Linked DNA regions of Neodiprion lecontei. The main gene of each other region encodes a partner of the protein of the gene in region 3 in a complex. Links are inferred from orthologs where the notes say so. Each region holds a gene or a part of one and is shown on either strand. Other genes may lie near its edges. The genes, in order: mediator of RNA polymerase II transcription subunit 21, mediator of RNA polymerase II transcription subunit 9, mediator of RNA polymerase II transcription subunit 1 and mediator of RNA polymerase II transcription subunit 7.

Evidence for each region.
Region 1: mediator of RNA polymerase II transcription subunit 1 (region 3) and mediator of RNA polymerase II transcription subunit 21 share a complex: the UniProt entries of both Drosophila melanogaster proteins name them as parts of the mediator complex. The link is inferred for Neodiprion lecontei from reciprocal best matches to the Drosophila melanogaster genes MED1 and MED21.
Region 2: mediator of RNA polymerase II transcription subunit 1 (region 3) and mediator of RNA polymerase II transcription subunit 9 share a complex: the UniProt entries of both Drosophila melanogaster proteins name them as parts of the mediator complex. The link is inferred for Neodiprion lecontei from reciprocal best matches to the Drosophila melanogaster genes MED1 and MED9.
Region 4: mediator of RNA polymerase II transcription subunit 1 (region 3) and mediator of RNA polymerase II transcription subunit 7 share a complex: the UniProt entries of both Drosophila melanogaster proteins name them as parts of the mediator complex. The link is inferred for Neodiprion lecontei from reciprocal best matches to the Drosophila melanogaster genes MED1 and MED7.

What each region holds. Positions count from the first base shown.
Region 1 is NC_060262.1:34,976,727-34,983,993, forward strand, and holds mediator of RNA polymerase II transcription subunit 21, read left to right. Parts: upstream 1-4,509; 5' UTR 4,510-4,598; intron 4,599-4,701; 5' UTR 4,702-4,731; coding exon 4,732-4,773; intron 4,774-4,841; coding exon 4,842-4,953; intron 4,954-5,021; coding exon 5,022-5,407; 3' UTR 5,408-5,478; downstream 5,479-7,267. Other genes in the region: uncharacterized protein LOC107218980, read right to left, coding at 27-86, 363-513, 1,412-1,593, 1,737-1,897, 2,033-2,219, 2,500-2,778; histone-lysine N-methyltransferase SETD1, read right to left, coding at 5,829-6,002, 6,174-6,431, 6,532-6,753, 6,823-7,267. UniProt on the Drosophila melanogaster protein: Component of the Mediator complex, a coactivator involved in the regulated transcription of nearly all RNA polymerase II-dependent genes.
Region 2 is NC_060264.1:6,102,788-6,110,111, reverse strand, and holds mediator of RNA polymerase II transcription subunit 9, read left to right. Parts: upstream 1-3,511; 5' UTR 3,512-3,705; coding exon 3,706-3,812; intron 3,813-4,187; coding exon 4,188-4,293; intron 4,294-4,378; coding exon 4,379-4,519; 3' UTR 4,520-4,666; downstream 4,667-7,324. Other genes in the region: probable E3 ubiquitin-protein ligase MGRN1, read left to right, coding at 6-166, 627-897, 968-1,165; 60S ribosomal protein L10, read right to left, coding at 1,899-2,229, 2,326-2,631, 3,152-3,174; protein YIPF3-like, read left to right, coding at 4,935-5,627. UniProt on the Drosophila melanogaster protein: Component of the Mediator complex, a coactivator involved in the regulated transcription of nearly all RNA polymerase II-dependent genes.
Region 3 is NC_060263.1:3,100,631-3,109,624, reverse strand, and holds the start of mediator of RNA polymerase II transcription subunit 1, read left to right. Parts: upstream 1-3,704; 5' UTR 3,705-3,858; coding exon 3,859-3,919; intron 3,920-4,355; coding exon 4,356-4,498; intron 4,499-4,585; coding exon 4,586-4,719; intron 4,720-4,841; coding exon 4,842-4,977; intron 4,978-5,089; coding exon 5,090-5,309; intron 5,310-5,374; coding exon 5,375-5,600; intron 5,601-5,733; coding exon 5,734-5,965; intron 5,966-6,096; coding exon 6,097-8,994. Other genes in the region: mediator of RNA polymerase II transcription subunit 15, read right to left, coding at 1-372, 2,369-2,421, 2,767-2,809. UniProt on the Drosophila melanogaster protein: Component of the Mediator complex, a coactivator involved in the regulated transcription of nearly all RNA polymerase II-dependent genes.
Region 4 is NC_060265.1:6,393,896-6,401,993, forward strand, and holds mediator of RNA polymerase II transcription subunit 7, read right to left. Parts: upstream 5,239-8,098; 5' UTR 4,840-5,238; intron 4,724-4,839; 5' UTR 4,679-4,723; coding exon 4,349-4,678; intron 4,254-4,348; coding exon 4,101-4,253; intron 4,010-4,100; coding exon 3,809-4,009; 3' UTR 3,250-3,808; downstream 1-3,249. Other genes in the region: leucine-rich repeat-containing protein 15, read right to left, coding at 1,584-2,606; tyrosine-protein kinase Btk29A, read left to right, coding at 6,454-6,624. UniProt on the Drosophila melanogaster protein: Component of the Mediator complex, a coactivator involved in the regulated transcription of nearly all RNA polymerase II-dependent genes.

The DNA.
Region 1 (7,267 bases), on a different chromosome or scaffold from region 3:
TTTTTTGAGGAATATATAACACTTACTGGCCACGAAAGGTTAAGGTTTGTGTGATTGTACTCGCATCCAAAAGTCAAATTTGCCACCTGTTGCATCGTAAAAAGTATTAAATATACGTGTATATCTGATGTCTTATTTGACAGAAGGAATAGACATCGTATACAATTATCAACACATCGATTGTCATGATGTAACATTCGACATATGTACGGACCCTCAGATTGATCGTAACACATTCAAGGCCGCCGACAGTATCTTTTCCCCATGTCAAACACATAGCAGCAGACTACAACAGTGATCTTGAATGTATCAGAATCAATCTAAGGGTCTGTACAATGTACGTCGGAGTAGTCGTACGTTACCATGCTCACGTGGCAGATCTGCGACGCCGGTGATGTGGTCACACTAAAATCACTCGCTTTTTTAAACTTTTCTTCATCAATTTCCCACAACTTGAGATTCATTTCGATACAAGTTGTTGGTATGATCAAGTTAAAGGGTAATATTCGACTCCTGAAAATAACATTATTAGAGTGGCTTTTCCAAATTCATAGATTCTTCAGTGCAATCAGAAACAAGAATCGAAAATGAAGGGTGTATTGTGTAAAACTAGAAGTATGCCAGAAATAATTTTTAATCACAAGAAGAATTCCTGTTTCAAATTTGTGTCAATGAATACTTAAGATGAATACTAAACGTAACATAGATCGATGCAATAGGTACACCGAATAGGTGTAGTATTCGTCCCATATTGAGAAGTTAATATCACTTGCCGCTGATTATGTTAGACTTTGTAAAATTACAATGCCGAAAGTTTTTTCAAGTCAGTACGTAATTTTCGCAGTGAATTTATCCACAAGAAATAACAGTCAATAATTCAACCAACTAGGCACATTAAGAGGAGAGGACACCCATCTTTTCAAATACGCACGCCTTAGTGTTATGGGAGCGATAAATCGATTTTTTTGCAAAGAATACGATTGTGATAAAATGAGAATTATAAAAAAAAATATTAATCGCTTTGGAATTTTTTTTTCTGCCAAATTTGAGTATTGTAAAATCCATCTGCAGAAGTTTAAAGAACACAGATTTACATTTGGTAAAAAATACAAGACTCAGAAAAACAATTTTTACCATTTTTGAAGCATGTTTTTCGAAAAAAGAAAATCCTTTTCAGCTTGAATAGTACTCTAAAGATCTATTTTCATAAGATTTGACGATACTCCAATTTGGTTGCGGAAAAAAAAATTCGAAAAGGGTTAAATTTTTTTTTTTTGTTTCAATCATTTTCTCTTTATCTCCAACGAATTCCACGCAAAAAACAGCACAAGAAATAAATTTACCGTCCCTCTAACACTAAGACGTCATGTACCTGAAAAGTTAGGTGTTGAACAGATAAATTGAAGCTCACGTTTCAATAACCGCATTTGAAACATTTTCAAACTGGCATCTCACGGTTGGATCACGGACAGGATACGTGGTATTGTAAAAATATGGACCCCACAACCAACTTTTTTCTTCTCTATTTGTCATGACAAAATAATAACAGCCAGTAAATATATCGATAAATGTACCATTAGCAGGCACACCTTTCTGAAATAGAAAGATATGTTGAAAGAAAAACAAAATACAAACCAAAGAACCTAAGATCTTGTACTAATGACTTGTTGTCTACAATGAGCGTTTAAATTAATATCGACTGTTACATATACAGCTACTCAACCTAAATTACCCACTTTTATAGACAATGATGAGTCCTTTTTGTTAGGCATATTTTGCAACAGATTAAAATCTTTTCTAGGATCACAAGGACATTCCTTTTTATTCTTCACATGTGGTTTCGCTAGTAGAGTAAGTTTGAAATTTTCTCGTGGCTTTGATACCTTCCAATCAATTCCTTAAGACAAATATAAAAATAACAAATTTTATCACTATATGAGATGAAACATGTCAATAGTGAATCATTAATCAAGATATAATTCGTATATTCGCCAATACGAGTGGCAATTATCTACTAAAAAAAATGTCTTACCAGTAAAATCAGGAAAATCTTGGAATAGTGTGGACCGTTGGTGTTGAAGCCAACTAGGTGGCTGAGATGTCTTGGATTCATAGTCACACTGATTATTTAGGCTCGGCTTTGCCAAACTGAATTGATTGTCAATTTTAAGATTCACACACTTACGATGTGGTGGACTGAAGTTCCACTCTCGCCAAGTCTAAAACAAGTAATCACGTCTGTACAGAAATATTTATAAATTTGGTCGTTACAGCTGTTGGCAAAAACGAATTACGGAAAAATATTTCACATCCCTGACAACCTATTAGATGCAGTATGAAATTGATTTGACCATAATTTATATACCCGATATCATGATAAATTACTGAAAAGTAGAAATACTAGAGAACTATACTGCATCTGAAAATTGTCATCTTGTGACACAACTATTGGATATAAACTTAGTAAATAGAATTTATAAATTAAAATGTAAATAATACGTTATTTTGTCCGGTTTCGTTGCCGCATTCTACATCGACGCACAAACGAAGAATTATCCAAAAAATCCAAATAAAAATAGTCAAATTTCTCTCACTCATGTTTCCTTCACGTCGGAACAGCAACTGAACCTTCAGAACTGTATCGTACTGAATATTTATCATTTTTCCGCCAACGACTACGAGGAAATTCATGGTGTACAATGAAACCTGGTTTGTCCGACCTTCGATCAACCAAGTTTCACAATATGAGGCAACGGACTTATTCGAACACTGTAACATCGAGGTGTGTGATCGAATACAGTACGCATATGCCGTACGTGCGAAGTATTTTGCGATTGCTACTTTGTTGCTTATATGTAGCAACAATGCTTTGTTCCCCAGAGATTGATCTACGTTCCTTAGAGTTTCACTTTCATGTACCTTTGTGTTTAAATTTCATTCTACCATATCAAATTCGTAAAAAATCATTCAAATCTTCACATTTTTCATTTCTTCCGTGTTATGCCAGTTTTCGCTTATCCGAGATACCTCCTCCCCACGTTACCTCGGATAAACGAGGTTTTTCTCTACGGTGAAATTTCAGGACTAGAAATATTGTCCGTTATTGAGGAGTGTCCGATATTCAGAACAATATTAACGTGTAAATCATGCTTCTGGAAATTTTTAGATATTTTTACGACATTTCGGTACGTTGTAAAACGAGTTGGGTTTAGGCGCGCGGAATATATCTAATTTTGGAACGGACGTTATGAAATAAAAAAATAGGATATACGTATATCGAATTGCTTCACCGGTATCAGCTCCAGATTATGGAGATTTTTTTATCCAGATAAGGTCGGCGTTTTTTGGATTTCAACCTTCTTAAATCTTCTTTATACACAAACAAAAAAAGAAAAACAAGAAGTAGAATGAGATCATTGGTTTTGAGAATCGAACACCAGATATCATTTTTCATACATCCGTTCCGAAATGTCGTACGTGTGTTAGCACGCATATGATCGACATGTGTACGTGCTGAAGTCAACGTCAAGTCAATGGACCACGGCGGTGAGGCAGGGAAGCCGATAATATTTCGAGAGCCAGACATAAACATTGAGATTAAACGGGTGACGAATCGAATGCGGTGGGTCTAGAGAGCGGGTGTCAAAGGGACATTACGCAACGACGCCTCGGAGAGTTCACACCGATTGAATACCGTGCATATCGAGCATTACTATACTTACGCGGTTGCAAAGCTTCAATATACTTGTATTCACACATTTAACGTAGAATTTTAAGAAGTATTCCATTGAATATTACAATGTACATTTAATACGATTGACATTGTAATGTATTCGAAAGATAGCTTCGTTATCCTATATATATTATTTCCTACAGTGCAAAGTGTGTCAAAGACGATGGGGAATTTTTTGTTTTACATGTTCACGCAAAACTTCGACGATAAATCAAAAGAACTGGTATTTGGGCTTGTGGTCTCATTTTCATTTTTGAAAGACGCTAATCAATATCTCGATATACAGGAAACTCGATTATAGGTTATAAAGTAAGAATTTCAATTAATAAACTGTAAACAAGTTGTAAATTGAACATTTGATCGTACCCATGATCGCGCCATATGAGGCATGCCGATAATAGAAGATTCGTATTCAACGCGTACACGTGATCCGTCACTGCTTTATTAGCATTCCTATTGGTCAAGAAGTCGGCAGCAAAATGCTGTGATTGCTTCGTGGTATTTTCCTGCTCGTGAAAACCTAGTCTAGATCAACGCCAACGAGAAGTGAATACGAAAATGTAGTAAGCAGTGTACATGCGTTTTACTGTTTTAATTATGTTTCATAAGGCTCTCTCTGCCAAACTCTAACAATAAACCAAATCTGACACCCGTTGAAAACGCGTTCTCACTGGGCACTGGCGGGAAGGCGAAAAACGAAACTGTCAGGATCATGGTGGCAGTGTGGTGCTGCGTCGGTAAGTATGTGACTTATAATATCGATATATGCGTCGTACAGATTGTCGTGAGAATGGTGATAGTGACAGCAGCGCAACACGAGCTGATATAGTCAAAAGTCAAGAGTAACGAGATATGATGTGATAATGTACGTAAATTTACTTCAAAAAACAAAATATGCATCTGCTACATCTGGTTGATTATTAAACTTGTGTACTTCCTCTCTGGCAATACCATTGCGTTTGGAAAAGTCCGTTGTTGATATTAGGTGCATCGCAAAAATGGCGGATCGTCTAACCCAATTGCAAGACACCATAAATCAAGTAAGCTTGCCGTAAAATCAATTAGCCGGCAAACTCATCACGATAATTCGATATTATTATCCTTACAGCAAGCTGAACACTTCTGCAACAGTGTTGGGATCTTGCAACAATATTCTATGCCTACTAAATTTCCGGGATTTGATAGAATTGGAACGCCACAACCTCATCAGACACAGGAAGGTGAGTTTCAGTAATCATTGTTTGTGATCATTCAGTTCACAAAGCATATTTTGGTTTGACTTTTTTAGAATATGCGACTCTATTTGCTACGCTGATCGCCCGATGCGCCAAAGATATTGATACATTGATAGAAAGCCTTCCGAGTGAAGATTCTTCTCAGGAACTTCAAGTAGCTAGTCTGAGCAGACTTGAACAAGAAAATCAAGATGCTGCGGAACAGCTAGAAGAAACTGTCAGACAGGGTGAAGCTTTGCTTCAAAGAATTCAAGCAGCCCTCCAAGACATTGCGCAGAGTCAGCTGGACATGCAAAATCCTGCTGCTCCCACAATTATCAATACAAATTTAAATCCTCATATTAATTTTAAACAGGAAAACTTTGGTACTATCAATACAATTCCTTCAAGTAATTCACATCAACCACCAGATCCATCGCCGAACTCTATGAGCCAGTGATATGAATTTTGTCCGATTTACATTTAAGAAACTTTAGCCATTATCAAATAAACATTTTTCTAAATGCCTAAGCAGAGCTTATTCATTCTAGACATATCTTTTAAGAGAGAAATCTCTCAAGAGAAGCAGTATCATTAAACAGATCGCTAACTAAAAAAATCTTGGTGACTAATGTCACAAGATTGGAAAAGAAAAATATAGATACATGTTCATAAAGTTCTGTAAATTCATTCAGGTAAAAATGGTTAGATAATTTACTAGAGTTTCATGATCAAAATGTTCGGCAACAAGAAATAAATTTCGAATAAAACATACCATTTTCCATTGGCTTTTTATAAAATGTTTACATGGGACTTTATTTACAAAAATATGAGAAGGGTGTGGTTGATTGAAGGGGGATGAACAGTAAGGTGACAAGAAATTAATTGAGCGTACCCCGACATTGGGGTGCGCCACACAGACACGGAATTTTATCATCCTCCAACGGAAACTTATAATCATAAGTAATTTCTTCGTTCACACCAATTGGTTGCTTGCTGTAGATCACAATCTTCTTCTGGCTTTCAATTGTTATTACTTTAGCATAACAATTCGGCTGTAACAAATCATTTACCATTATATTGCTTTGCAATAATTTAGAACTGAAGATAGTAGAAAAGCAAATTGAATTCCAAAGTCTTAAAGACTTAATCATCCATAAAGTGTCAACTATTCAAGCGAATACACTTAAAAATTAGGTATAGTTCAAGTAACAAATTGAACTCACGTTGCAGCTGTGATTAATGAATCTTGCCAAGTTACCACATTTCGTCGCATCGATAATAGTGTCAAGATCAATACGAAACAGATAAGAGCTACCAATGCCTGTAGCCTCGTACTGAGTTTCACGTAGATCTGCGACCACTGGTCTCACCATCTGTCCAACATATTCTATCACCATTTCATCAGCAGCGATTGGTTCCATTGCGAAAAGACCCCAATCGTGAATACCGGATTTGGCGAATTTCAGTTGCTTCTTTCGGAACTAAGTAATAAGAAAGCCATTCAAAACTGAGTCACAATGTTCCACATAAAATACATGATAATCTGATTGACAGATGTAATGATACTCCAATCAATATTACCTTGAGCTGATTGAACTTCAGTAAATCACTGTCAGTGTCAATGCCAAAAGCTGTTAATAACCGCCGCTGATTACTTCTCGCCTCCCGTGATAAGGCCTGCATTTTTCCAGTTAATGCCTTAGCCTTTGTTTTTGGGCCATTCATTGTGCCGTCACCACCCAAATATGGTCCAGTACTATCCTCTATGTCATTACTGCGCTGTATGCTTTGAGCATAGTGATGCTAAAAATGAGAAAATAAAACAAAGATAACATAACTTTCTCTGCAAGAAATATAGTAACACAAACTTACTTTGTGTTTGGCTTTTTCGCGTATATCAACTTTGTAGTAGCCTTCTGTCCGAGCGCTTCCTGTAGAATGTAATCGTAACTCGTCTCGTTTTTTCCTTTTAGCAGGACTTGGAATATCCGTTGCAGGATGGTCAACCCAATGGGTGTCATTCAGCCAGTATCCTTGGTTGTCATCTGCCAGCAAAGCTTCGTAGCTTCTCCTCAAATATTCAACATCTTCTGCATCTATTCCTTTTGTTAGAAATTCATAAAGCACTCCCATTTCGCTCATTAGATCCCGTTCCTTGTACGTTTTAAGTGGTTCCTCGAACTTTCGTGGTAACGGTTCATACGCGAACTCATTTTCGATGTTTTCTTTCTCTTTTTCATGGTTTTGGTGTGTATGGAGTTTGGAATATTTGGGATATTTCTTTTTAGCAGTCTTATCAGACTTCTCTTTCAGTTTC
Region 2 (7,324 bases), on a different chromosome or scaffold from region 3:
TCCAGGGTAGTTGTGAAAATATACCACCTGGCTATGAGGCAGTATCGCTCATAGAAGCTTTGAATGGCCCTTATACACCAAGAGCAACGGTCCTACCAATTGAGTCCCTGGATACTCCTGACACAGACACAGCCAGTGCTATTCAAGCTGCTGAAATTTTAAATCGGTATGTCAGTAAAATGATGAAGATTTTAATATACTATTTTCTAGCCATTATTGAAATTCAAATAACCGTCCTTTACTGCTTTCACCCTCACATGCCTCTAACAAAACTCCACGCATCTCTAAAATCATGAACATTCCATGTCTAACACATTTAACCCTTTAACTGCATCTTAAAATAATGTTCATTACAACAATAATGCACGTGTACAAAAAGAAAATATTTTCTTAAAACTAACCCTAATATTAGGTTACTTGATAAGAAAACGATAATCTAATGGTAATTTATCACTTTTTCTTGGTGACTGACGCGTAAAACTTATCAAACTTGTATGAGAACGAAGAATAGGATGGGGTTCCAAGCTCAAACTTGTATATCCATGAATCAAAGGTGTAATCTTAAAGGGTTAAATTGTATAGATTGTAGATCATAGTAGGATGGTAGAAACAAGAACTTTTTTTAGATCAGCTGAGCGTACGCCAGTTTCGAAACATGCATCTCCAAAAGATACGGAGAAGTCACCAAGAACTAGTGGTATGCCTTGTGCAACACCCGAGTTCCGAATGTCTGTTCTACTTGCAAGGGATGAAATTTCTGGTTCTCAAAAAGATCTTCGCAGTCGTTCTCCAGTTGCACGAGCCAAAGTAATTAGTCGTCCACGTGACAAAACGGCCCTTCGTACAAGAGACACATTAAGACTCGTTAATGAGAAGCAATCAACTGCTATCGATGAGGTAAAGTAGTTGTTTTGCTGCTAACAAACTGAGAGATTCATTTCTCAAATAATTTCGTCAACGTTTTCAGGGACAAGATGATGATAGTGAAGCAGAGAAACTATCTCCTTTATTGGACGCAGTTACAAGTACAGAAGCATTGGATACCAGTCTTCATCCGATGCATAACATAGAGCCTATAGATGATTTGGATATCGATGACGAATTGCAAGTAGAAAACGGAAGTGTGAAGAACGTGGATCGTACTAATGAGAAAAATTTACACTAAGTTTAAAACTTGTTACCACAAACTCGTTAAACAGTCGAACAATAATGATACCTACATCTTTCGTTGGCAAAAAAGTTTCAAAGTGCAATTTATCTGTCAGATGTATTCTTTTAACTTTCAAAGTTAAATGCAGGTAGCCTAGGGCAGCTTGAACAGTTGTGTTATAAAATTGGGCCATACATTCCCTTAATATTGTATTTTTCAAATTTTAATTAGGTAATTAGGTACTTTCTAATCATTTTACTAACAAAGTATTTTAGTGAACTATATTTCCAATTTTTGGATATTTTTTGTTAAATATATTCCTGTACATAATTTACAATTGACAACTTTATGGACGCGTAATCTCACTCAACTTTTATTTTCTATGACGTTACTGATTTGTAATGAGTTACGTAGGATATGGCGTTCTAATCATTTGTAAAATAAATTCTTAAAATCACAGCACCATCCTTTTCACATTATACCTATTTTATTATGAACTCCGAACAGATGATCATCTGCTACATCTGTAGAATACTCATACCTGTAACAATGGATCTATTATAAAAGCGAACTTTGTAATATTCACCATGGAAATGGTAAATTGGCAAAAAAAGATCTGGAATTGATACTGAACTTATAGCATGCATCTTCCTGCAACATAACGAGGTATAATAGTAAAAGACGCACAATTTTAATTAGTCGGAATAAAATTTATTGAGACCACATTTACAGAAGTGTTTGGCTCAGATTAGGCACTGGCCAGGCTTTCTCTGAACTTCTTCCACGCGTCTAGGGGTCCGTGCTCTGGAAGATATTTGACATTGCAACCATCTTGGGCAAGACGACCAGCTACCTTCAGATCTTCGTATTCGGCACGTTCGTACTTGGTAAATCCCCACTTCTTAGAAACGTAGATCTTTTGACGACCAGGGAACTTGAACTTGGCACGCCGTAGAGCCTCGATAACTACCGCCTTGTGACGGTCCGATGAGCGCACACTCATGATCGGCTGCCCGATTCGGACACGAGCAACAGTACCTTGAGGCTTACCAAAGGCTCCTCTCATCCCAGTTTGGAGCCTAGATAGTTGAACAAATTTGTAGCATTAATTTTCCATCTAAGTAGATAATATTCCGTTGTTGGATAAATGAGTTACTATTGTTCACGTAATTTACCTATCAGCTCCAGCGCATGACAACATTTTGTTGATGCGAATGACGTGGAAAGGGTGGAGTCGCATCCTAATGTGGAACTGATCTTTGCCAGCATTTTTGACCATGTATTTGTTGCAGCAAATACGACCTGCTTCTAGAGCTTCTGAGCTAAGCTGTTCATATTCGTCAGAAACCAAATGAACGCAGAGTGGAAAGTCTTCGACACATGCCTTCTTCTTTCCCAAGTCAAAGATACGAATCTTTGGGTCAGGGACACCCCGACAGAAACGAGACTTAGGATATGGTTTGTTCTTGCAGTAGCGATAACTGTAATTAAACAAAAATTCTCATCAGTATTTGATTTATAACATATTTACACAGCACTTAGATTCCCAAACCTTTATCTCAAAGCGTATTGCAACAATGACATCTGATTGTATAAATTATAAATTAAATGATACATATTGCGAAACAGGTTAGACACCAGTGTTAACGAGGTTACGTTACCATCATGTCGAACTTTCAGTTCCACAAAATTCTCTACAGTTGACTAATGGTCTGGAACTGCAATTCTAATTAGCAAAATTTTCGCGACAATTACAGAGAACTTCAAAATAAGTGAGTAAATGAAGCGGCAGTAATGGGTTAAATACAGAACAGTGCACTTCGAAGCTTGGCATACACCTGCGTTGACACAAAAAAGGGAATTTTGTTAGAGCCTCGGATTAATTCGTAGCTCGAGTCAATTAAAGCAATCGTTGGTCAGGAATAAAGGTACCACAATTATTTCTCTTTTCGATTATTTCTTTTTTTCCTAAATTAGAAAATGCGAGTCATGACGACTTACCACCTCGCTGGCCGGCGTCCCATTTTGGACTGAAAATATAAACACCACAATTATTTATCGAAAAAACTATCACTCTTAACAATTGGTAAATTAACCTAATTTCGTTCAGTAAGACTAATTAATTGCCGTTGTGTAGGATTCCTCGGATTATCAGAGATATAAAACAGCATTCGCGATACATACCTACTACCCTTGATAGCCCAAATGAAAGTGACGGAAATCAATTTTCTGGTCAAATGTCCAGGAGCTACTTCCGGCATTCGCGGTGCAACACCATAGACTATACTAACGATTACGTCCATTCTATGTCTAACTTTACAAGCTAGATGTTAAGCTCCTTGCCATCGCTCCATCTACAAAACTTGATTTTTCCGGCTTCTGTTTCTGACAGTACCGTAAAATTTTGTCAAACCTTCGTGGTGTGCTAAATGCTTTGAACGACCAGTTCGCGTGATAAAGAACGTGTGTAGATAAATTCATTTAAACTGTCTACGAAAGAAGAAAAAATTAGTGTCGAAAAAGCAGAAGATGCCGAAAAAAATTGCGGTGAAAATATGATGGAAGTTGTTGAGATAGCAGAGGAAGCGCCTGCTCGAAGTCAGTTCACAGTCGACGATCTAGACATAGAAATTCTACCGCTTGTTTACGAAATAATCCGAAGGTATGTGGGTTTAATTTATTTTCTTGTTAACACTAGCAATACCCTTTGAAATTGACATGCCAAAAATAGTACTCCATTTTTTCAAGTTATTATAGATAGAAAGTTGCGAAAGCACTCCCCATTGTCTGCCACGTTTGTCAAATTATTTATAGCTCATATGATTGCGTATCAAAATTATTAACACAAGGTACATGATTGCTCAATTTCTCAAATTGATATTCTAATTTTATTCACTTGCTCTGCGAACATTAGATCGTGACGTTGGAGTTTTACAGGATTACGTATGAACAAGAATTTACCTTATTAAATGTACAGCTAATTTGTCTCATCAAACTAGTTATGTAATGCAACAAAATTTTGATTTGTTCCACATAGCGTGGAAAAAGATCCTCATGACAACACCCAAAAAGCTAAGGACTCTCAGGATACGAGTCACAAAATACTAGATTTACAAAAAAAATTGGACTCTGCACGATCACAGGTGTGTATACTCGACGATAATCATGCTTAGCATGACTAAATATTCGTTCTCTGTAATTTAATAAACTGAAACCCATTGCTTTTAGATAAAAAAATTGCCTGGGATAGAATATAGCAAAGAGGAGCAATTACAGAAGCTAGAAACACTTCGCAGGCAGCTCAAGTTGAAGCGAGAACTACTACTCAAGTATCGTAATATGTGTACATTCGACGTACCCAAAGTATAAATAATTAGACTTTCATACTATAATTCATTATGGTTCTGCGTTTTCTTATGCGATACTTGGCCAACAACGAACAGCTCATCAACAAATTAGCAGATTCAAAACCTATAAGACGAGCTGCTCAGCTGGTTGTTTATTTTATGCAACGTTCTTCCCAGCACGGTATACCATCCAGTCCACAGGAGCTTGGCAAGCAATGGGCAAGTTTATTATCGCGTTTCTCATCTAATCTCAAAGAAGGAATTGCAGACGCTAAGAAGGATCAGGAAAAGAAACAATCTAAATAACATATATTCTAACGTAACCAAATTACTCTCCTGCGATTAGTTATCCATCTCAAAGACTTCGATGAATCAGTTTTTTTTTTTTCTGAATTGTGAATTAGATTTAATAGCTTAATATTTCCCATTGGTTTACCATGGCGTACAAAGGATCAGCCGTTATATTGGTGCCTACAGATTCCAAACAATATTGCGTTAAAGTTGATGGCCATGTTTCGTTTGTCAATCGTTATATGAAAGTTACACCCTACGATATTGGAAGACGGATTATAGCTTCCCTCGGACCTCCTTGTAACAAGAAATTTAGAATTGAAAATATAGATCTAGTAGGACCCCTCCTAGCAGTCTTAATTTTAATTGCAATTCTAAATTACGGATATAGGATTAAAGAGCCGTCGGCTACAGATTTAACTATGGCTCCTGTAACTTCAGTACTGCTATATATTGTTGTGAATCCCTGTCTAGGTTTTGTGCTATGTAAATTGGCACGCGCAAGTATGGTATTCTGGGATTTAGTTGGGTTGTTGGGCTATGCCTTGTATTCTCATCTCATAACATTAATTCTGAGCCTTATGATATATCAAGAAGAAAGTAACGCCTTCTTTTTCCTATGTTTACTTTCATTTGGAGGACTGAGTGCTCTTAGAGTATGTATCCTTCTTATAACTAGTATACCCAAACCTGCTGCTCGACTTTTAGTTTGTTCTACATTATTCATAAATCACTTGTTATTCTTAATTTTCTTGCACTTTACCTATATGCATCCAACGTTTATATACGGCAGAGGCAGCGACAAACGTGTACCCACAAAAATACATACAAATTTGTAAGTCAAATTTTTAGAGAAACCTACAAAATAATAAGCATACTTGTGAATTCTTCAATATCATTTGGCATCAATCGGCTTACCAAGTAAATTAACTTTTTATATTGCGTTGATAGTATCTACAGCCAATTGTGAGCAGACTTTGTAGTTTGTGGAAAATGTTTCAAATTTAATTGTTTTTAGACTAGATTACAACATTTATAATCCGTTTGGATTATCCAATGTAATTTTACTCATATAAAAGTGAATTTGCATCATATTTGTATATTTTTATCAAACTTTACTAAAGCCTCTTGCAGAAATTAACCAGCTGTGAAAAAAAATTCTTCTTTTAAATCCAGCAAGGATTATTCTGCCACAAAATATAGGAAATATAAGTCACCAGTGAACTACGATGTAAAAAGAGAAGTTATTTCCAATTTCAGATTGTATTATATGGCATTTATTTGATATTACAACAAGAAAAACACCAGAATTACGAGTATTAAGATCAGTCCAGTTTTACTGAACATGAAAATCAACTTCTTTGAAAATTATCTTGTTAGTTCGATAAAGTATCGAAATTATAAGTTGCATAATACAGTACGTACGTTTACAGTATTCTTAGAGTTTTATCCGTTGTAACAAATTGGGCAGATGAAACCTAATGTAGCACACGTGATTATTGTTAATACTTTATATGAATATTGAATACTTTCACAAAGAATCAACATTAGAAATCCAACCCATAGATCAATCTTATCTTCTAAAATTTCTACTATCTATATAGTAATATTAATATTAACATCATAATCAGTCAAAGAAAATCATCTGTCTAACAAGCATTCTCGACCACCTATTCAATCATTTGAAAAATAGTACAATGAATTACAAAGTATTAAACTCATAGCCCTTACATGTGTAATATACATATAGAAACACAGTTTCATCTTTAAATTATACAGTCAGGACAAGCGCAAAAGAAGTAACTTACAGTGAACAGAAAAAAGTAATTGAAGCCTGCATTGATACCAAAAACAGCTGTTTTCACCCCATATCTAATGATGCTATAGCAGTAAAGGAGATGTGAAATCAATACATATTATTCACGGATATACTTTCGACGTAATTCAGCCAATGTCTGGAAATGTCAAAAAATATATATACAGATTTTACTCTCACCTCAACTGTTTGCGTAACATGTCTGGAAAACACAAACATACTTTCCTGAAATTCGGCAATTAAAAATTATTCTTTAGGAGTAATGGAACTATGTAAGAAACTGCTCAGTACAACAAAACGAACTAATATATCGATTCAATGATCGAGTGGAACACTATAGATGGTTTACAGAGATGGGGTGTCTTTTTCCTGGATAGGTTCGGAGTATGTTATTCTTAGATTTTAAACTGAGAAACACGCAGTTGTAAGACTGTGTTTTCGTTTGATAAACAATTCGGATTGCAATTTTATATCTGTTGGAAAAATTTTGCATACAGATAGTCTATTCAAAAAAAGTAGATATGTAATGTATATCTTTAATATGACAAAACTGGAATATAATTACTAAAATTTTGCTACATGTGCCTCGAATATTTCAAACTTTTTTGTGTTCGGATTTTAAATACATATTTATATGTATATAAGTATGTGATATGAAATGTTAAATTGTAACAGTCCCGTTGACCTTGAAAGAAAGTTCTAACTAGTGCTGCTATGGGA
Region 3 (8,994 bases):
TGTTGGCTGAGCTACTGGCGTTGGTGCAGCAGGTACACTGCTAGCGGCAACAGGAGCACTAGTAACTGCTGGTGGAGTAGATGACGGTTGCTTGAGGATTGGCTTCAGACGCGGAGTTTGCGGAGTGGTAGGCTGCTGCTGCTGCTGCTGCTGAGGTGGTGTCTGAGTAATTGGCTGTGCCTTTGGAGGCTGAGAGCCCTGCGTTGTTCTGGCCGACTGTTGCTGCTGCTGTTGTTGCTGCTGTTGTTGTTGTTGATGTACTGGATTTGCAGCTTTAAACTGCGGCGAGTTTTGCACTGGATTATTCTTGTAAGGTCCCTGCTGATTCTGTCCCGACATTTGAGACGGTTGAAAATTCCCTTGTTGCGAATACTGTAAATCATAGGGTGGGTCTCGCCACTACACAAGGAACCTCTGCGGTTGTGCTACCCCACCAGGGCCCGACGTCGCACACGTATTCAAACGCAATCTGACGCTACCCCTATAGCTTACACCTGCCGATATTCCTTTCAACAGTGCTAGACGTTTCTCAATTCATAACTAAACCATGACCAGCTATTGGAAAACAACATCAATCTAATTCATCAAGAGATACACAAATTTTTGCACCTTCTTATGAAATAAATCATCTCTGACAATCTTTACACAATTAAAAATAACATTTGTTCTTGCCCAACTAAGAATGAAGAATTTCATAATATCAGATAAACAAGTAGTTTGTAAAATATGTGACAGTAAACTCAAATCTAGTACAATGTAAAACCATGTCCTCATTCTGTGCTTATGATTTTAGCTCTTGTCGGCAGTATCACCCAATGGAATAGAACAGATGCAAGAAAATCGTGTATCGCCAAGGTGTTCAGAACATGAGTTTAGAACGAATCATTAAGGAACTGGCTCAGGATGCATTATGCTATGAGGGCAACTGGCGAGCCTGCCCCTGGCGGGGCGCACCTCCTCGGTATTGTTGTATAGCTACTAGGGCCTGCTTTGCAGGAGAGGGGAAGATGGGAACCACTAATTAGTACATGCAAATAAAGGCGGACTTCTGCACTTTTATCATAATTGGAAACTGGAACACAGGGATAATATTAAAATACTAGCCTACTTCTTTGATCGTCAAACATCCTGAATCGACTTCGTAAGTTTTGCAGTGATGATTATTTATATTTAATTAAATCAGGGCTGGCAATAAGATAACTTTCAGAGAATTAAGAAAAAAAAAAAAACTATTTGATTTGGAACCGTGATCAATGGTGGCCAGAAAAAATTTCAGTTCAATCATGTACTAAAAAGTTTAGAACTAAAATGAAAAATTCAATTCCTAAACTTCTGTTAGAAATGATTAAAAAAGCTGAAGAATAAATAGCACAGTTTATAAATTGATTAAATTGAGGTCCAAAGATCTCATCAAACTGTTTCGAAATAGTGTCTTTTGCCACCAAGAGTGGCATTAAATTGCTAAAAATTGATGACTATGATGCAAAGAAGTAGATATAGCAAGCATTTACAATACCAAAGAGATTGAATAACAGGTATACGTATATCTATGCAATTCTTACTACCAATTTAGTTTTGGCTTTAAAATGAGATCTGTTTCTTCACTCTATGAAAATTCTACAACCTCATTATTAGCATGGGTAGGTAACAAACGCGTAGGTAATTCCATACTGAAGTTGCAGGTAGTGGAATATGATTCTAGAAAAAAATACTTTCCAAGATTTTTGCAAAAGATTTCAAATATTCCAAGTATTCAATTACAGCTTGTCCAATCAGTCTTTCAACCTGTGTTCCTGTACAAACTTAAAACAAACCAAATAAAAGAGAAGTAGATAAGGAAAAAAAACAAGCCTACACCGTGAAATTTTGAACTTTACATTGTCAAATAATAAATAATATTGCATTGAATCTACGATACTTTAAAGTGCATAATTTATCATACATCTATACTAATGTTCTCAAGGTATAATAAATATTGGTCGAAATACCTTGACATTTACGCATTTTAGATCTTTGCTAATAAATCATAATGTGATTGATGGTTTATTTTATTAGAAATTAGTTGAAGACTTGAGAAATGCACAACTCTGTGTATGTAATACTAAGTGATGATGAATACTAACAATAATAATTGAATTTTCAAGAGAAAAGATCTGCGATGTTAAAAAATTTAGAATATTGTATGTACATATATAATACAAACTTTGTCTATTCAATTGTTCAATTTGTGGTCCATGAGTTATAAAACGTACTTGTCCAAATGATACTTCACGCAATTTGATGAGCGTTTTAATCACATAAAATTTACAAATAGTGAAGTAAAAATTATTTTCATTGGTTTGGATTATCAGTATGGAAAAATGATTACCGTTGAATTCTGGTATCCTGGTCCAGAATTTATGTTTCCCGACTGTCCCCTTACTGGAATTTGAAAAGTTCCTAGCATTATTCAGGGTTACTTTTCTCTTTCGAATAATTGATTGCTTTGCAGCAAGTAATTACAAACGAATAAAAATCAATAACCACATAGGTACTGGATGGTATGTACAATAAATCAAAGGCTATTGTTGTCGGTTCTGTTTTAAGTCGTAACTATTATACAATCGGCTCTATACTCCGAGTTTGTATTTGAGTGACTAATTCGATAGAGAAGTATGAGCGTCGTCTCGAGCCCCGGCATTTACTCAAAAAGGAAAATTTAGCGTCATCCATTTTGTAGTATGCCGCTCAGATTCGGTAAAAATGAATTAACATAAATTGATTTACCATTTGGGTAATTTCCCTGACTATTTCTGCTCCTGGTGTACATTGCGGTATCAATGTTCAAAGGTTATTATTTAGTCGTAAACTATCCACAATAACTTGTCAAAAGACACAAATAACGTTACATCTAATTCCGATCACACAGATAATGGCGTTTTGTCGCAACCACAGCGTCAGTGACTGCAGTGACTATGGAGATTGTACAAGGAGCATGAACTCAAATGGGTGAATTGACCAAACTTGTCACACTAATCGTAAACGTTAGCTTCATGTTTTGTACCACTAGCGTCACTAGTGTTCCTGTAGCACCGAAATGTCATTAGTTGTAGAGATGCCCAAGATTGACTAATCGACGATCTTGCAATGTGATTCATCTACCTCGCTCACCGTTATGGTACTTATCGTATATTAATTGCTTCTTATTTTGGGAAACGATTTGTATACATGGAGTTCGTGCTCCTTGCACAGTCTCCGTGGCAGTGACTGCAAATGGTTGTAGAATGGCTATGATTGCCGATCAACGGAGAAGGGAAGTCGGGTAGTTGGATTTTGTCCAAATCATGTATAGTTAGATATCCGAAAGCACGTTCAGGAGCTCTTTCAACAATTACCGACGGTAATCTTCCAGTTTCAACAATATTTATTCGATGATAAGGTTTCGTTGATGCATGTATCTCTAAATATTGAAGTCCACGTGTCTCAAACGCAAAAAAGGATATGAATTTTACGAATTTACAGTGCCATTTATTTATTTCTCCGTCAAATGAAAACTTATTTGAGTGTTTCTCTGTTACTCGAGTTTAACACCTGTGCCATTTCTTTACACATATTTATGCACGTCGAAATCGACCAAGGGACCCCCTTAAAGATCACGCGAGGGGTCGATTGTCGCAGATGGCTATGTCGACCAATCAGCTGATTCGATAAAGATCGACGCGCGATGCGCAAAGGTGTACTGCTAAGGGGGCGCAAAGGTTAGGAAAGCGAGGTCTGCTGAGCTAAGTGGAGTGAAGCAGCAAACGAGCAAGATGCTGCCGTTGGAATGTAAAATGTGTTGACCTCGCGTGGATAGAGAAACGGTGTTTAAAGCGTATTATGGCATCCGTGTTATCCGGAAAAGGATACATGGATGCGGGGAACAATCAGAAGGGCCTTCGTAAGTATTTCCATCATATCTATGTTTTACGATCGACGGCTGATCCTATGCTGACCGAGATAGTACATGCGTGCGCTTTGGTGGGGGACACAAAATTCGTTGATTACGCTGATTGCTACGCTATTTCACGCACACGTTCAAACAATAACAAATTCGCGTGATCCTATCCACTCATTTTCAACCAACATAAAACGTGCTCGTTTAGCAAAAACCCCAGCTGACGCTGTGTTTATCTGCCAAGAGTTGTGCATAATTTTCACTGACGCGTTTATTTATCAGTTATGCGTTGCTATGAGATAGACCCTTGTTACACAACCAGTCGTATAAATTTATGCCGGCATCATTATTGTCATTGTCTATCAATTGTGCTGGTTTTATCACACGCGCCTCTTTAATTCAAATGGAAATCTTGCTGAAAATAAATTGAATTTTCCAGCAGCCCCCGGGGCTGTTGGCAGCCCGGCGGTGGACAAGGGAAAAGAATGGCAAATGGAGCTGCTGATGGAGAAGCTTCGTTCAAAGGCTGCTTCTTTTAAATCCTTTGTCGAAATTGCTAAGAATCTGCGGATGGCCATGCTGGTAGGTTTAATTGAGCTCGATATTAACTGTTTAAGAAGGAGCCTTAGTCTCTAAAGATTAATTTAAATATGTCTAACATATTTATAGGATAAACGATTCGCCCTTGACAGTGTTGAAAAAAATCAACTGCAAAAATGCCTCGATACTTTGCAACATTCCATAAAGGTCACGTCTTTGCAGTCCATGGTAGAACGACTAGAAAGTCTGACAAGGCAGTTAGGGTAAGTGGTTCTCCAAATCTTTCATATCATACCTTCAGATATGTTTAACCCGTGCGAAATGTACCCAATGTGCAGCTATTCAGACATTTTATACTCATCGTATCTTGAATGTTTTATTGCAGACTTAAATTCATGTTGGGGACTTCTGGTACACAACTGTTTATATCATCGGATATGTTTTATCTAGAAGTTCTTTTGGAATCAACTGGTGCTGTCAAAGATGTCAAAATTCATCATGAAGGGAAAAACGAGCAGCAGGTACGAATTTGTTTGAGTAATTAAAAATTTTATGACACATCTTAATGGAAAAGAGTTATCTGAACTAGATCTAACGCTAACAAGAGTAATAAAAAGAAATATAATTTGACAGAGTTGCAAAGAGTTGGTCACCTGTTTGTCCCGAGGAGATTTTGTTGACTTTACGGCTCAACTGGAAGGATTGGCCTCTATCTATCAGCTGAATGCTGAAAAAAAGGTCAAATGCAAAGCTTTCAGTGCTTTGCAGTCCCTCGAAGCAGACTTGGGTACCATAGCCCATTTGCAAACCTTTATGAAGGAACATTTCAATATTGTACACAAAAGCCCAGTTGGTTAGTATTTATTTTATTATTTACCAATTCTTATACTAGATTAAATAACCTGTTTGTTAATTCAGGAATTTTGGAGAAGAGAAAAGGAGGCCACGCGATGAAACTAATTTATTTTGTTTCACCATACGACCTAATTGACCAGGGAAATCGGAACTATGAAATCCTCAGCTCTGAAGCTATTGTCTCCCGAAAAATTGGCCATTCTGTCACAGTGTGTATGGAAGGTTCAACAGCTCATAAGCTACCGACCTCCAATATCATTACTATTAATCGAACACCGTCTGGAAAAAGGTTAGACTATTTTAGAGATATAGTTTTCATGCCAATAGCGATTACATCACTGTCTCGGCTAATACCTAGTTCAACAAATTTTCCACGTGCGTTGAATTTAACTTAACACTTGATTTTCTTCCTCATTCTGTAGCACCCCTTCATACGCTATATTAACTGGAGCAAACTCTTCAATGTTACCTGCTTGTTTCACTTTGAAATTGGCGAAAAAGATGCCACTGTGCCTGGAATTAGTTCACAGAATACAAAAAGTCACGGAACTAGAATGTGGTGATATTTCATCCCCACATCCATTATTAAGTCTGGTAGTACAACACGCAAGCGACGGTCGACTGGATTGTCATAATAACAAAGGCCTTTTTGTGGTAAGTTCCAAATTACCCGTAGTCGAATAGATTTTTTGTGAAATCGTAAAACTTTCGCGAAACTCGTCATTACTCGTGAATATTATCCATTTTACATGTTATGCCGTGTTCATCCAGTATTTTATTAACAGACATTGCCGGATCAGCAGCATTGCTACTTCATGACAGAAAACCGGAATATGGAAGGGGTGCTGGTCAGCAGCATCCCGTTTACGCATCCTGCCCACGTTCCCCAGATCCTGGTGTACCTCAGGCAGCAGGCACTTTTCAATTCGTTACTTGCAAGCTGCGTTAGACCCATGGCACGGCAAGACCCTGAACACACGGTGATGTTTGAGGTCAGTGCTTTGTCTTGGCAACATCTTTCGGTCAGCCTTGAGCACCCCTTTGAAGAAACAATGGCGACAGCAGAACTCGATCTGTCGGACATATCAAACTTGAAATGTAAATTATACGGAGTTAGCATGAGCAACAGTGAGTCTTCGTCAGAACTGGCTGGTAAAGTGTTGCAGAAATGCCTTAGCATCCCCGTAACAATGAGAACGTTGATAAAGACTTGGGAGGGTAGGAATCCTGCTAATTCTAACGCAATGAATAGCAATGGCGGTAATTATAATGTTAATCTTGGTCCTGGCAGAGACCAGAATGGACACAATGGTACAGGTATGCCAGATTTCACCAGTGGAGATGTAAAGATCAAACAGGAACCGGGATTGAACGGTAGCGGAGGTATCGGTAGGCAACAATCGTCGCAGCAGTCTTTTTTAGAAGCCGGAACGGAGAATAGTATCGGTTTTCCGTCTTTTTCCGGCCATTCCGATACAACCACTGCTATGTTGAATCCTCTGCAACTTGGGGCGCTTCTTGGTCAAGCTAAAAACTCTGCAGGTTTGATTAATCCGTTAGTAGAGCGACCTTCTAAGAAAGCGAGAAAAAGAAAAACAGCTGACGGGTTATGGAGAAGTCCGAAGAGGAAAGGTGAGGAGATGAGTGAAATCCTCTTGGAAAGTTCTAGTTCTGATTCGACACCTTTAGGCACACCTACTAGTAGAGATAATCCAAACGAGCTTAGAACTCCGACACCAACTTCGGCTGCTAGTCTTGCAAGTGGTCTTGATTTGTGTAATCTAGACCATGCTGATATTTTAGGAACTGATAAAAGCTCAGATTACGACATGGAGAATGAAAGTGAAATCGTTGAAGTTCACGACTTGCAAGATGTTGAGGAACTATTGAAGCGAGAGAGAAAGTCTAAGAAACGCGAAGACAAGAAGAGCCCTAATTTATTTGAGGACAATAAAAATTTGGTTCCACCGTCAGTTAGTATAACGCCTATTTCCAGCAGCGGAATTGCACAATCATCAAATTATAATTCTGTATTGACAGGAATGGGGCTAGAAAGGCGACCCGGCATTGAGATTATACCTATAGCTTCGTCTCCGCAAACTAGCCTTCCTAGCTCGATCACCATCACACCAATTGCCGGTCCGGCTTCAAAAAACTTGACAGATGAGCGTAGGGACAGGAAGAGTTCAAAAAATAAGACAGAGGATAAAAATAAACTAGAGAAGAAGAGAAAACGGAAGAGAGAAGACAGTCCTATGGGACCTCCGGACAAGCTACCGTTGAAGCCAGATCCTCTGTCAAAACCTGTTTCGGTGAGTATTAAACCTACCGAATCTCCTCCAAATCTGACAACAAGACCTTCGTCACCTGCAGCTACGCTCAGAAAATTTAGTCCGTCTCCTACGCATACTAGTCCGTTAGCTCTTGTTGGAAAGTCGAGCCCTACCCTAAAGCAACCTGTTAACAAACCAATACAAAGTCCCAAACATTCACCTGTTTACAATAGCCCTAAACATACGACGATACCGGCGAGTGTCAGCCCAAAACATGGTACTTCATCGCCAAAACACGGGAGCTCAGCCAGTGCCGGAAAACCCAGCATGTCAGCTTTAAAATCTGCAGCTAATTCACCATCAAGCAAGAATAGCGACGGTATGCCAAAAGCAAAGTCTTCTAATAAAGATTCGAATAGAGATAAAGAGAGGAAAACATCCTCTCTGACTTTTAGCGGGTCCGGACACCAGAGTCCAAAATTGAAATCATCTAGCGCAAAGTTAAAACAATTGGATTTAAATCCAAACGCTGAGACTCCTCCGTCTCTGCCGAGCAGTGGAGGCAGCACGCCTCCGTCAGGTGGTTCGGATATTGGAAAATCAGCTACTGCTCAACAACAAGCAAGGAATAGAAAAGGCTCACTTAGTGCTGTTATTGACAAACTTAAGAATGCCCAACATTGTACAGAAGATGGTAACGGCGGGTCTAAGGGTAGTCAAAAGGACCGAGTTAGTTCTAATAAAGTTGGTGAGGGTAAAAGCGGTAGCAAGACACCTGTGGATACTAAAAATCCAGCTGAATACATGGTAAAACATAGTTCTGAAATGAAAATCACGATCAATAAAAAAGGAACAAAAGACTCTAAGTCTAGTCCTAATCTAAAATCTTCATCAGGATCTTCATCCAGCTCCGGCAACGGGTCACCAAAGACTCACACTGGTCTTAAACCAGGAGTGAATTCAGGCCCTGCGTCTAAGAAACCACAGCAACAAGTCCCCCTGAAATTGCCGGGCAGTTCAGGATCTGGGAACAGCGGCAATAAAGCAAATCTTGCCAGTCAAAAAGTGCCTTCTGTTCAAAAATCCGCTTCTGGATCTAACTCAGGATCGGGTGGTTTACTAGCAAAGGGTGTTTCAGCAAAGTCGTCTGGTTCCCCCAAAATGAATAGCTCAGGTGCAACGGATCTGAGTCGCAACAGGGACAAACCAAGGCCACCAAAATCTGGGGAGAAGAATATATTTGGTTCTAAAGGTTCAGACATTAGAAAAACTTCAAGCCCATCTGCGTTGCGGGAAGAGAGCGAGAGCGAAAGAGCCTTTAAACTATTGGCAGCACATGCATCAATGTCAAATCTACCTAATCTACCGCCTCAGCTTGTTGTCGAGGGACTGATGAAACAACTGGATACT
Region 4 (8,098 bases), on a different chromosome or scaffold from region 3:
GAGGATTTTAATTCGCTCATCAATCAGCAATCTATGTCAAACTTATGTTCTGCAACTTACAATGATTTCCACCCTGCCTTTCCCTTTGTAGAATTTTGATCCCTATCCTTTTCTCCCTTCATTAGTAGTTGGGTTTTTACAGTTGCGGAAAGTCAAGAAAGCTGCAGCCACAAGTTGGAGGATTTTTTATAGCCAAAGACATACTTGAATCGATAAATACTCTCTGCTTTCCTATAAATTACACTTCTGCTCATTACATATACTCGTATTCGTGTTTTGAATTTTTTCGACGAAATTGTTATACCATATTACGTTTGAATATTTATTTTTATTATTTTTTTCTTTTAATAAACGGTATAAAATATTTTCTCTTCATGTTCAATTTTCTATCACATTACCTTTTATTGTACTGATCTTTAACGACCGCTGATTCAATTTTTTCACTACTTGCTGATTGAATGTCTGGATGATTCAGTTTTGGTTATATGTAACCAAGTATTTCTTTGGCTGCTGTCATCTCATGATTTATTTTCATTGAGGTTTCAGGTACCAAAACGAAACTGCAAACGAGGGTAAGCTGCGCTGCGAGAGAAGAAAGAGAAATTGCTAAATTTATCTGTTTCAGGTGCCTGCAGCCCGGGTTCCTTTCAGTGGTATCAGAAGCTATAAACTAATGAAATTCATTCTTTCAGGTAAACGAGTCCCAGGAATATAATGTTTAGGTAGTTTGATATGTGTTGTATATGATGGTAGCTGTTGAATAAGGTGAGTCAATAATTGCAATTCTTCATCGCCCTGCTTCCCTATCCCATTATCAAATGAAAAGTTTCATGTTATCTGTAGTTTTGTGAATATATCTTTATTATTATCCTAATAAAAACGATTTTTATTATTCATCAATAACTGTTATTTCACTTTTTTACTTTTTCCATTTACAAGAAAAATTGAGTTGAAAATAAGTGATAGACGATAGTATTACGGAATAAGGTGAAGAACATACTATATTCATATTTTATTATTGACATTTATTTTGATTAATGATACATTAATAGACCATCACTACATCGTGGAGAAACAATAATTATTTCATTTAACTAAGGCAATAAATTAAGCTACAAAACCGTATAGCAAACAATCTTCAAGGGCTAATTGTCAGCATCACCACTTATAACAAAACTAAAATCTAGACATCAAGTGCAGTTTCTATTAATTTTAGTTAAACTTTTATCAGCTAGGTATCAATCTTGCTGGCAGATTATTTAGTAGGGTGTGTATTACGTTCTTAAAAAAGTAGTTTCTTTGAGCTACGACACGTGGCGAAGCGTGCAATATTTTGCTACTAAATAGACCACCTGGACAGCTACTATTGGTAGAAATTTTTGTTATCGTAACATTGACGAATCTTCTCTATTAAATAATCACTGAAATCTTGTCTATTCTATCTTGTAGTTGATATCAGAAATAATGTAGTTGCTCTGGAAATACAAATTTGTCGCTGCTGCTGCTCGAGTCTTAAGTTAACTTCTGTCATGTCCGTATTTGTAGCAAGTTTGCAATTTATCTTCAAGGTATCCGCTAGTATCTTATTCAGTGTAATAAACTGTACTGGAACTTGGCAGCTGAACACTAGTTTTATCAATTTGAGTCAAAGTGTTATTTGCCATGTAAATTAAATTGATCTGAGTTAGTCCAGCGAATACATTATTTGGGAGAGTGTGAATTCTGTTATTGGACAAAAATATTTCTTCAACCAAGACGAGGCCCTCAAATGCAGCGGGCTGAATCTCAGAAATTTCGTTGTGCTCAAGATGTAAGATCTTCAAATCACTCAGGCCTTTAAAAGCACGGGAATGGATGGTTGCAATTTTGTTGTGATTTGCATACAATCTCTTCAACTCCGGCAATCTTCCAAATGTCTCTTGCGGAAGTGACGTTAGGCTGTTATCGTTAACATATAAAGTTTCAAGCTTCGTTAAACCGGTGAAAGTGTTGGGTTTTATTTCTGTTATTTTGTTGTAGTCCAAATGAAGACGGTTTAATTCCTTGAGATTTGCAAAAGACCCTGAAGCAACGGTAGCTATTTTGTTATTATCTAGCCACAAATACAACAGCTGTGGGAGTCCAGTAAACATGTTTGGCTTTATCTCCGGAATATCGTTTTGGTTGAGATAGAGCCACATTACTTTCGATAGTCCGGTAAACGTCCCTGCCGGTATATTGTTGATCTTGTTATAAATCAAGGACAATGACTCTAGCTGAGATAGTTCTTGAAATAGATTAGGAATCAGGGTGACAACATTGTTATCCAAATGGAGGCGGGTCAATTTTGGTAGGCCGGTAAATGCTCCGGACTGTAGAATTGAGATGTGGTTTCCTTGATACAAATATAAATTTGTTATCGTCAGGTCTTTGAAGGCGCCGGGCTTGATTGACAGCAAATTTAAATCACTGATTTCCAATCTGTCTTCGTTCCTCTGCTGTGTAACACTACTTAAAACACCTCGAAAATGACACACAGTAAAGCCATCGTGACTCGTGCATGTCTGCTCTGTTTCAGCTGTTACGAGAGCCACAAGAACGTGGACCAGCAACGCGTAACGTAACATGACTAAACTCTGTACTGTTCATTTGCATAACAGCAGACAATTTATATTGGCTCATCTTTAAGTTATCGTTTGAACTTTGCTACTGTTATCAGACAGTGTGAACTCAGTTGTTGTGGAGTTTATTACCAGGAGAAGTGTATTTTTAACGTAAAATGTACTGGAAATATAAGATAAATCAAACGTGCAATAGATATATTTCAAAGAATTGTGACGCGTTAGGAATTTCGAGAAATGATTATACATGAATGTTCCTTACTTTTAAAAAACAGTTCCAGGTATTTATGAGATGCAGAAAGGTTTTTAACACTTTTTTTTTACAAATCGTTACATAATAAATGTTTCGAAATACTTTGTCCCCATGTCTCGATCAAGTATTTCTTTGAGTATCGTTATCTACTAATTTATATCAACTGATTCATTACATAGCATTATGAAACCGTTCAAGAACGTGGGGCTGTTCGGCTCAAAATTGTTTTGAACTGTCCCGTTTTTCTACACTCAGCTACAGGTTTCCATGTTACGTTTAGCGCTGTGAATCTATGTCATCATTCAGATGAAATCTACCTTGATTAATGATCAATAATTCATCTTATTGTTATGACATCCCTAATAATAGTATTTCTAGGAGATATTTTTTCACAACTTCGTACTGAAATTCATTTTTATTCACTTCTTTGGAGAATACGTAGTTCCATTTTAATCCTTCATTTCTTAATAATGATTACTGGACTATTTCCAAGTCAGTCAAATATACAAATGATAAGTACAGTAAATCGCAGAGCCATGCGCCCGTATTCAGAGTATTTTAATTTTAATCGCTGTCCAGCACAGTAATAAATAATATTTAAAATATTAATTATATTATGTATAAAACGATATGCAGTAATAATCATTGTAGAAACTCACACGCGTCTAGACAAATTCACTAATAATTGTTCCTTATATCTAAGCTCACTATAAACCAGTTTTTCAACAGCGTTGAAGTATAAAAATTATTTCATTCAACCAAGGTAGCAAGATGCAATTCAAGCCAGCATGTTTATTTTTACTTTCGTAATTTTACGTGACGAAAACTAAAAATTCAAGAATTAGAGGTACTGAAAACTCTTTTTAATTGCTGTTAAACAGTGTTTCTGACGCTGTTTTCAATAAATAAAACAGTTTTTATTTTATTGTTGGGATGAATTTTTGCTGATCCAGAATCAGTAAAGATTATTCGATGTGGTCATTTCGTCGATAATATTGCACATCATTCGGTCCCTTGGACAACACGGATCTGTAGCTTGTTGCTCTAGTCCCAAAGTATCCATAACTTCCATCGTATCTGTACTGACAGCAAGGCTTGAATCTAGCTCCGAGGTGTCAGGCAGCATCTGCAATGCATGCTGCAATATTTCCTGCACCTAGAGAGAAAGAATTGAAAGAAATTTTAGTCAGTGATATTAGAAGAAACCAAATGTGATGAAAGATAAACCAATGACACGTATAGCATACTTTGTCTAAATGTTTTTGAAATCGCAGAGTGGTTTCTGTCCGCTGTCTACGCTGGAGCTCCATCATAACACGAAGAGTTTCTCTAGCCTGATGCGGCCTAAACTCATTAAGCAAGTGGTGAATATGGATGAACAAAAGGCTCAAGTCCTCGACCTGAAAATACGTCAGGAAAAACCATGAGATTCTTTATTACCGTCAATAACTCCTGGTGTTAAATGTCTCAAGTATGAAGAAAATCAAGGACACACCTTCTCCGCTCTCCTCGGACTGTCGGGACACTGTACCAGCAGATCTATAAGGTCTAAAAAATTGACCAGAAGAGAGTGATTGAGTTTCTTGAGCTCACGACGCCGGTCAAAATGCTGGGGATAAAGCCTCTTGATCCCCTGCGCTTCCAGCGGCCTTATGATGGTGTCGTCGGCGTTGAACATGTTCCCGAACATGGAATAGTTCTCATGATTAGCCGGGGGAGGACGGGGAGCTCTTCCTCTACGCACGTTCTCATCGGTGTACAAGTTGATGTACTGAGTAGGCGGCATGGGCAGCGAGCTGACCTGCGTCGCTTCCGGAGTCGCCATGGTTTAATAAAATAATATCAACGGCGTAGTCGTAAGATTTTATTCCTGTAAAAGAAAAGAGAAGGAACTGAAACGAGTCAGAGGAATTTAAACGTCAGATGAAAAAAAGATGGGTCATGTTAGGCTAGGTTATAACCACGATATCAGCCTCGGTTTAACACCATCAATCGGAGGGTGAAGATAGGCGAGGTGGATCTACTCACGCCATGAAATACGAGTAAAGCAGTGGAAGGCTCGTCGACGAGGCAGTCACTGTGTTTTCAGCGTCTAACAACGCGAGTCGTCACAGCAGAGGAAAAAACAAAAGCAGCGCGGCGGTTAGTGTTCGCCATTTTGTTTTGTTTACATGCCTGCGTAGCGCCGAACATGGAAGATGCCTGGGAATGTTAAATGTTTACGCTTTTTCAAAGTTCATCCAGTTACCTACACAGCGACGTTATTCGACCGTCGGAAAAGCGTCGCTTGCCTCTCGGTGTCGCGGTTGAAACAACTCGGGATTAAATCGCGCTGCCCGAATGTCGAAGTGTAAAATATTCAGACAAGTGGATAAGTGACCAATACAAAACAGTTGAACATCGATGTGTCTCATGACTAACGCCGTAGCGCATTTCCTGTTATCTCGTGAATTTCCGACCGTCTTGCCTAGCCGTCGCTTCGCCCGCGACCGTTTGACAGGTTACCTCCCCCCTCTCCGTACCGCCCGCCGCTAAGCCTCTCTCTGTGTTCCTTTGCATCCACGTGAATTTTTTTTTTCGCATTATACCCCTAACCGAATCCGGCGGGCAGCCACGTTCTCGAGACCGATGCATCGTCTGGCTGTGTGACAAACCGGTGCTGTGAATGGTAAGAGTACTGTGTTGACTACCGATAGTCTTTATTTTATTGTTACACGGTTTCCCGGCTATTTCGACGTCGGCCGAGGCGATTCCGAGGAACTCGGCACCCAAAACGTCAGTATTTTATAACCGCAAATTCCGTGCGCCTTTCCCTATCGCCTATTTTCGAACTGAGCTTCGGTTTCGTTATCAGTACCGTACCCGGTTTAGCTACGCGATGTTCTCGACGCTTTTATACTTTTACTCTATTCCTATTATCGTTCGTAAACCGACTGCATTGTAAAATAATCGCCTCGATTGTTGTACCTGAGCAATTGATGGAATGCAGTGTTTGTAAACAACGAAAAATGAGCCATGCATCGACCATCTCGAAACGGTTTCCTGTTCACAATTTACACACATATTCGATATCAGTTTTACTCCTCTCTTTTATCTGATGGCGTGCCAACAGTTGGTCTCTGTTCATCTTTTCCCTACTTCCCTGTCATCAGCTGTTCAAATTTGTTGAATCCACCATCCGTCAAACACACATTCTTCTTTCAATCAGCTCTCATCCGCCATTCTATTCTCTTCTATTCAACTTCTCGCTATCTTCTTTGTCTTCATATTTTCTCTTCTTCTTTCTTACGCTGTGAACCGAACTACCGAAACTTGTACTCTGCGAATCGGATTTTCTCTTTGTTTCTCCCTTTCTCGACAAGAAGCTCCAACTTTTCTTACTTTCAGATCAACAGATATGTCTAGTAATATTTGAAACACACTGTAGCTATCGCTGGACTGTGATAAATGTCGCAATACTATTTAAATTTTCTTTATAACGCCCAGAATAAGCTTGAAAGAAAAAGAAGTAATATAACGATTACAAAATATCGTCCACTTTCTCAAAAATACATTTCATTAATTTGATGTTTTGCATTTTACAGGGTTTTCTTTTCAGGGATGACGGGGAAGGATGGGAAGGCGGAGGCTAAAGGCGTGGATGGTGTTGTTAAGACAGGATTTATGACAAAGCGCTCTCAAAACAAGAAACGATTTACGCCGATCAACTACAAGCAGCGATGGTTCGTCCTCACCAGGCAATACCTTATATACTATGACAGCGACAGCGAGGTAAGCGAGACGAATCACTTGTTGACACATTTCTTTGATAGATTTCGAGTCGACAGGTCACGCCTGAAATTTCATTACACGACGCGTATTTACATGGCAATTGCTCAGCTGTTGAACAAAATATTATTATTTCTGATCTTCATTCTGTGATCGAATTTGACCAGGTTTCCATTCGCAGGTGCTTGTTATATCTAAGAAATGATTGTTTTTTTTGGAAACTTTTCAAATGAGTATAAACGTATTCTGGAATTGCGGATATCCAGAGATTGCAAAAGTAATCTGCGACCCGGATCAAAAATGAAAATTCGCCGACATATAAGCGTCAGATTATTCATATCCAACTTTGTTGCTGTTGTTATTTTTTTTTTTGGTTATTACAAACCACTCTTTTTTTTCACAACAAGTTTACTAATGGTAGAGACGAATTTCATTCGTACATACATAGGACCTTGTAAAAAAAAGTGTAAATCGTGTAAATTATTCGCAAGGAATTAACAAAGACAATAATAATAATAACGGTGTACAGTAACGAGAAAAATCGATAAATAATAATTTGAAGTTGATCGAACATTTTGAAGTAAAATTACCGTCAAATTCCATGGTATAGAAATTTTGAAATTACACGCATAAGCGATAAAAGCATATTCTTACGCAGGCAACGATGAGTATAACAGCTTGCTACTGTAATCTTTATGCAAACAGGAAATGTGCGGTTCATTAGCGAAGATTACGAACGGAAAAAGAGAGAAAATGTCAGACATCGACTGACATTCATTGACCAAGGCACGAGTTCCACTCGTGTCGGAAATCCTTCATCCGAATCACCGAATGCGAAATCCTAATCAATCGTATAATCGACATTTTTATTTACCCTCCTAAGATCATCGAATTGAGAATAAAGATTTTTTAGTAATGTGCAAGTATTTTAGAGAAGTACGCGATCTCGTGTTAAAGCCTTAAAATCGACTGTTGCGTTTTTTAATAACGTTGACTGAAGATGTGATGCGATAATTCATTGTCTTAAGGGATGCTATTCTCTTGTTGAACTGTATACAGGATGCATCGACGATAGAAAGGATACAGAATTTTCAAAGATGGGAATATCCGATTCGTACGAGAATTATGAAAATGTAGAAAGTGGACGTACAGAAAGAGAAAATATAGAAATGTCAAAACATAGAACAGCTAAATCTAATGTCTGTGTACGATTATACATTTTGGCATTCTATATTCTCTACATTTTTTCACATCTCCATACAGGGACTTTGTACATTTTTAAATCGTGTAAATTAAATTTTCTCCTAGTTTGAAATTCTATATTGTGGCCCTTCCGTGTTTTGATCTTTCTGTTTTCTTATCCCCCGCCAAACTCGTGACAATATTTACGCATCTGTAATTCGTATTAGCTATACAGCTGTATATATCGAAGCGTGCCGCGTAAAAGTGCAAGGCGGTCGCGATATCACGTGTACCT